Callithrix jacchus: one gene and its partner. The protein of the gene in region 2 interacts with the protein of the main gene of each other region in a pairwise test. Links are inferred from orthologs where the notes say so. Each region holds a gene or a part of one and is shown on either strand. Other genes may lie near its edges.

Region 1 (3,517 bases), on a different chromosome or scaffold from region 2:
TGCCTGTATCAGTTTTTTAGTTTATAGTTTTTAGGAAGCAGCTACTTTTCAAGCTCTTGTTATCCAAGGATTATTGGGTATTCAGGACCCCTGGATAAGAATCTTTGTGAGATGCGCTTCAAATACAGAGGAAGGATTACAAGTGACTGAAAAACAACTAAAATGGACTTACACACAAAAAGAATTTATTGCCTTATTCAACTGAAAAGTCTGGGCCGAGAAGGATCCAGGGCTTCACATGTGTCATTAGGATGTAGTCTCTGCGACCTCTGCTTCCCAGGTTCAGGTGATTCTCCTGCCTCAGCCTCCTGAGTAGCTGGGATTACAGGTGCATGCCACCACAACCGGCTAATTTTTGTATTTTTAGCAGAGATGGGGTTTCACCATCTTGGCCAGGCTGTTCTTGGCCTTGGGTCCTGATCCAGGCTCTGGAGCAAGGCCACATTCAGTCAGATCTATGAAAAATTCACAGATTGGGGGTTCCCCTAAGGATGATTTTGGCCTCAATACCCAGGGAGGGAAAACAAGTAGAGGAGAGATCCAAAAAACGATGGCCTCAGCAGAGAGACAGGTGGATAGTAGGTTCAGATCTTCCAGCCAGCTGGTAATGTTGTCCTTCTCACTCGCAGAACCCCAGGCTGGAGAAGCCCGTGCTACTCTCTGAATTTCCTACCAAGATCCCACGAGGTGAACTGGACATGCCTGTTGAGAATGGCCTCCGGGCTCCGGTCAGTGCCTACCAGTATGCACTGGCCAATGGGGATGTCTGGAAGGTGCATGAGGTGCCCGACTACAGCATGGCCTATGGCAACCCTGGCGTGGCCGACGCCACCCCGCCCTGGAGCAGCTACAAGGAGAGCCCTCAAACGCTTCTGGAGCTGAAGCGGCAGCGGGCTGCAGCCAAGCTGCTCAGTCACCCCTTCCTTAGCACCCACCTGGGCAGCAGCATGGCCAGGACAGGCGAGAGTAGCAGTGAAGGCAAGGCCCCCTTGATCGGAGGCAGAACTTCACCGTACAGCAGCAATGGGACCTCGGTATATTACACGGTCACCAGCGGAGATCCCCCACTCTTAAAGTTCAAGGCCCCCATAGAGGAGATGGAGGAAAAGGTGCATGGCTGTTGCCGTATCTCCTAGTCTCCATGCGATGGAGGAGGGAGATTCCTGGGGAGAGGCTTCTGGAATCCAGGCCAGCCCATCAGCCCTGGCTAGGGAGGTGTCAGAGGGCAGCTGGGGACAGGTGGGCTCTGCTTTTCAGAGGAACTCAGACCCCACCCCTCACCTGGCTGCCCATAGCATCCCATGTCCCACGTCCCATGGTTCTGCTTCCTGCTGCATTGTCTGCCATCTGACACAAGGCCCATTGTGGCTTCCTGGCTCACTCTGCTATCCGATCTTGGGAGGGTGGGCTTGAGATCCCAGCTCTATTCTTGGTATAAAGGCTTCTCCGGATCAGTACGTGCATGTCACATATCAACACACACACACACACACACAAACACACACATTTGATCAGTGTGTGTAGAAATGACATACCTGGGCTCAGGGGAAGCAAGGAGGCTGAGAATGTGTGGGGTATTCCCAAAAGGATGGAAGTTAAGACCCAGAGTCTCATTACCACTGCCAATGTGGCTTTAGCAGGGGAAGGGGCCTGCTAAGCAGAGACCCATAGTCCTGCTCAGAGTCGTTCCAAGGTCTGGGCCACCAGCCACACCTGGCAGGGGCAAGAAGTCCTCATTGTGTTCAGAGGGAGCCAGGAACCTACATGGGTAGATAAGATGGGCACAGACCTGTTCCCCGCAGCCTTGTTGAGAGGCACACTTCTGCCCATGCCAGGAGCCAGCTGTGTGACCATCCAGGGGTGGAGGGGGAAACCAGGCGATTCCATTCCTGGAATCAACCAAATCATGCTTTGCTCTTGGATGGAAGTGTCAAAGGCAGAAGGGTGGGGGATGGGGACAAGGTCAGTATTTACCAAAGTGTATCTGATTTAAAAAATTCCTTTAGTCTGTAAAACTCAACAGGGAGGAAGGTAACTGAATTCGCTTCTTTTTGTGGATTGTATCATGGTCACTGGGTTTTACTGGCTGGTGCTGGAAAAATGAAGCTAAATGAGGAGCTTCCATAGGAATGCTTTTCCAGGGAAAGAGGCCAGTTAATATAAGAAAATACTGCTGGTTAATAATGACAGATCCCAGCACCCTGAGATCTTTGTGAATATCTAGACAGTTTCAGCCCAGCCCATCTCAGCCAGCCCTCTTCAGACTGAGCTGTCAGAGCAAGCAGTTAGGGGCCTGCCTGCCTCCACCTCCCACCCCCATCCACCCACATCAGTCAGTGCTCAGGACCCCGGGCCCAGCTTTTGCCTTTTTGGGGATGCTTGGTAAGGCAGATTTGCCAGTCAGCCCTTTTGAGTTCCTGCATAGCCCAGGGGCTCCCAGCCTGGTCTTGCAGGAGTGGTGATGCCCCAAGGCTGCGAACCCAGGGATCACATGGTCGGTATCCCGTCCTGCATTCAGGAGATCCGTGGTAGGGCTGGAGTTGGGTCTTGCCCAGCTCTGCAGTTTCATAGCCCCAGGTTTCCTGATGCTGGGGAGGGACAAATGTGAATGACTGTTCTCCCCTCACTGCTGATGCTCCCAGGACCCCCACTGTCCACAGGCTCAGCCAGAATCTTTTGGTGTAACCAACAAGCTGCAGGTGTGTCCCCTGCTCTATGCGCCTTTGATTTGTCCTTAAACTACCTCCTTAGAGCTCTGAAGGGGCGCCCTAGGTCCAGATTCTAATTTGGGGAACAGATCTGGGTTCTTTTTAATCCACTTATTTCTCAGTCTACAAGAAACTTTCCCTGAGGGGTACCTGGACTAGGGGCTTGGGGCTGGAAGAGCGTCCCCGCCTTGTGCCACAGCTCTAGTTATGGGGTCTGCTGTTTGTCATTCTCAGCCCCCTACTGTGGCCCCCGTGGCCCCATAACCCACAGAGGGAGCTGGACCTGAAGGGACCTGGGTGTGCTTTCCCAGGAGCAGGGGAGCTGGGCCAGAGAGCAGAGGGTCCATGGGAGTGACTGCACCCTTGGTGGCTGCTGGAAGGGGAGAGGTTCTCAGCATCAGGCACCTCCACCCCAATGCCAGGTTAGATGTCTAGAGTAGACTTGGAGGCGACTCAGGAGGCTGAAGACAGGTGCACAGATGCTTCCCATGTCGCTGGCATCTGGGGTGGGCTCTTTAACATCTCAGGCTGTGGCCAGAACAGGACAAGATGATCTAAAACACACTTACCTTTGGCTGTAAAACAGTATCAGCCCAGACTGATGCTGAAATCCCTCGTGAGCCAACCTTAGTTACAAGGTAGGGAGTGTGAGGGAAACCATATGCTCCTCAGGAGAGAGCTGTGCAGGTTTTCTTTTTGCTCAGGGGCCAAACACTGAAGGCATATACTGCCTCACCCACTGAGCACCTGAGGCCATTCTCTCCTTTTTGCATGCCTCCTGCCTCCTGGGCTGTTCCTCTCCACCCAGA
Region 2 (3,517 bases):
AAAAGGAACCTCTATCCTAAATTTCTAGGACTGTCCGTGCTTCCCTGCATTCCCAAGGGACATGCATTTCAGATGAACCCAGAGAGCTGGTGTATGGTGAGGTCGCCCCCGTGACTGCCTTCTTCCTGCAGGCAAAGGGACCCACAGGTCCTCCAAGAGATGGGGCCAGCCTGGGGTGCCAAGAGAAGTGAATGTACTCACTTGGGTAGGGCACAGCCTGGTGCATCAGATCCACGCTGGGGCCACTGAGGGCCAAGGTGTTGACGGAATAGTGGGGCCCCGGGTTCATATACGCCATCATGATCTTCAGGGACACTGAGGCCCAAGTCAGGGGCCTGCAAGAGAAGAGGAGGGATGCTCGCTCACTTACCAGTTACTCACATGTGGTGACATGTGGTGTGGGAAGCAGAGAAGTTCCTTTTTCAAGTTTCCTTTCTTGGAAAAAGAGTACGTGTGCTAATAACTCTCTGTTAAGCCCTATGCTATGTAGCTGTCAGACATGCCACACTTACAGTACATTCTATATCCTTGTACTTTAACCAGGATATCTGTGCTGGACGTGCTCACAGGCATGGCCCAGCTCTCCATTGCTTTTACCTGTTGAGAAAAGTTTTAAGTTTTTAGCCAATCAGGTTTTAGTTTAGATTGAGAGGTCTGGCCCCAACCAATGGAGATCAGACACAGCAGTAAGGATGACCCCAAATGCATAAGATATAAATTTGTGTGTTTTCCTTTGTTCTTTGTACTCTCGGGGCAAGGTGGCTAGCGAGGGTACCCTTCCTGCAGTCCAGGAAGTAAAAATTGCTTGCCGGAAGATCCACTGTCTCAGTGCTGATTTTTCTTTGCAGCACCGAGCATCTATTTCCAGCATGCAGGCTGAGATTCAAATCCTGCCTCAGTCTCTTCTTAGGTACGTGGCCTTGGCCATTTATCTCACCTCTCTAAGCCTCTGTGTCCGCACGTGTAAAACAGCCTCTGCTTAAGTTTCTCAGAGCTTCCTTGAGACTCTGCAAAGCAGAGAGCTGAAGCCGTCATGCACCTCATAAGTGCAAGCTCTTCTTCCTACTCTATCCTCTATAAAATCTGGTCCTGGCCAGGCACAGAGGCCCACACCTGTAGTCCCAGCACTTTGGGGGGCCAAGGCGGGAGGATCACTTGAGCCCAGGAGTTCAAGACCAGCCTGTGCAATATAGCAAGACCATGTCTCTTTAAAATAAAAAAAAAAAAAAGTGTTTTTAAAAAATTGAGTGTGGCATTGCACACCTGTAACCCCAGCTACCCAGGAGGCTGAGATGGGAGGATCACCTGAGCCCAGGAGTTTGAGGCAGCAGTGAGCTGTGTTCAGGCCACTGCACTCCAGCCTGGGTGACACAGCAAGTCTCTAAAAAACAAAAAAACGAATCTGATCCCATAACACTTCCTCATCCAAAATCCGTTCTTTCTGTGACCACGGGCAAACACACTCAGCCTTACTTATAACCAAGGAGTGCGGGTCGACCAGCAGTCCCTGTTTGCCCAGAATAGAGGTGGGACAGAATGGAGGATGTGTTTCTTGGAACACAGGACTTTCAGTGCTGAAACCAGAATGGTCCCAGACAAACTGGATGGGTTGGTCACCCTGAGGGAGAGTGGCATTAAAACGACAGTAAGGGTCAGGCAAGGTGGCTCACGCCTATAATCCCAGCACTTTGGGAGGCCAAGATGGGCAGATCACCTGAGGTCAGAAGTTCAAGACCAACCTGGCCAACATGATGAAACCCCGTCTCTACTAAATGTACAAAAATTAGCCAGGCGTGGTGGTGAATGCCTGTAATCCAGCTACTCAGGAGGCTGAAAAAGAAAAAAAAAAAAACAGAAAAGAAAAAGAAAATAGCATTTATGTTCAGGTGGTAACATGGTAAGACTCCCCCATCTCTACAAAAACTTAAAAAACTATGGCAGGGTGCAGTGGCTCATGCCTATAATCCCAGCCCTTTGGGAGGCCAAGGCAAGCAGATTACCTGAGGTCGGAAGTTCGAGACCAGCCTGTACAACATGATGAAACTCTGTCTCTACTAAAAATACAAGCAATTAGCCAGGCATGGTGGTGCATGCCTGTAATCCCAGCGACTGAGGCAGGAGAATCGTTTGAACCCAAGAGGCAGAGGTTGCAATGAGCCAAGGTCGTGCCATTGCACTCCAGCCTGAGTGACAAGATCAGTTTTGAAACTCCATCTCAAAAATAAAATAAAATAAATGCAGCATATTTATAACAGTCAAAGTGCAGAACTAGACTGCGTGTTCACCAAAGGGTTTGTATTAACTCAATTACATATATCATGTAAATCGTTTTAAGTAAAATACGGCATTTCCAAGCAAGAGAATTCTATAAAGTCATTTGAAAGGTTAAGGCTGCTCTCTATGAATTGATTTAAAAAGATTTCTGGTACATAGTTTTAAAAAATTGTTCGAGGGGGCCGGGCACAGTGGCTCATGCCTGTAACCCCAGCACGTGGAAGGCCAAGGCGGGTGGATCACCTGAGGTCAGGAGTTCAAGACCAATCTGACCCACATGTAGAAACCCTATCCCTTTTTTTGTTTGATTTATTTTCATTTCAGAGCTACTAGAAATCAAGAGAAACCCCATCTCTAAAAACAAAAAATATTAAAAAGACAAAGAAAGGCCGGGCGTGGTGGCTCACACCAATAATCAGAGCACTTTGGGAGGCCAAGGAGGGTGGATCACGAGGTCAGGAGATGGAGACCATCCTGGTCAACATGGCGAAACCCCGTCTCTACTAAAAATACAAAAAAAATTAGCTGGGCATGGTGGCGCGTGCCTGTAATCCCAGCTACTCAGGAAGCTGAGGCGGGAGAATTGCCTGAACCCAGGAGGCGGAGGTTGTGTTGAGCTGAGATTGTGCCATTGCACTCCAGCCTGGGTAACAAGAAGGAAACTCCGTCTCAAAAAAAAAAAAAAAATTGCTCTAGGCTTGGCAGTAAGACAAAAGGCTGACAGCATGCCATTTCCAAGTCGTCTGGAGCCTGCCTAACATCTGACAGACCCACCCGAAGTGTGCTTCATATTCTAAGGCAGCAGTTTGGGGTTTTTTTCCTCAGTTGTGGCATATACCTTTGCAAATAAGGGCTGCAGTTTTCAACCTTTTTGGTACCAGGCACTGGTTTCACGAAAGACAACTTTTCCATGGACGGGGGTGGGCCATGCATTCGATTCTCACAAGGAGCGTGTAACCTAGATCGCTCACATGCACAATTCACATTAGAGTTCATGCTCCTATGAGAATCTAATGCCGCCACTCATCTGACAGGAGCTGGGGCTCACCAACTGTGCAACCCAGTTCCTAACAGACCACGAACCGGGGGTAGGGGACCCTATTCTAAGGGACTGTACCTGTGTTTGATTTACTTTTTTTTTTTTTTTTTTTTGAGACAGAGTTTCACTGTCACCCAGGCTGGAGTGCAGTACTCACTGCTACCTCCACCTCCCAGGTTCAAGTGATTCTCCTGCCTCAGCCTC

The links. The genes of interacting proteins can lie anywhere in the genome.
Region 1: the proteins of CRX (region 2) and PPP1R16B interact in binary tests that used the Homo sapiens proteins (3 or more experiments, as listed by UniProt). The two-hybrid records come from large-scale screens. The link is inferred for Callithrix jacchus from reciprocal best matches to the Homo sapiens genes CRX and PPP1R16B.

Annotation. Positions count from the first base shown.
Region 1 is NC_133506.1:34,340,753-34,344,269, forward strand, and holds part of PPP1R16B (protein phosphatase 1 regulatory inhibitor subunit 16B), read left to right. Parts: intron 1-629; coding exon 630-1,136; 3' UTR 1,137-3,517. UniProt on the Homo sapiens protein: Regulator of protein phosphatase 1 (PP1) that acts as a positive regulator of pulmonary endothelial cell (EC) barrier function. Involved in the regulation of the PI3K/AKT signaling pathway, angiogenesis and endothelial cell proliferation.
Region 2 is NC_133523.1:41,738,874-41,742,390, reverse strand, and holds part of CRX (cone-rod homeobox protein), read right to left. Parts: intron 336-3,517; 5' UTR 302-335; coding exon 202-301; intron 1-201. UniProt on the Homo sapiens protein: Transcription factor that binds and transactivates the sequence 5'-TAATC[CA]-3' which is found upstream of several photoreceptor-specific genes, including the opsin genes.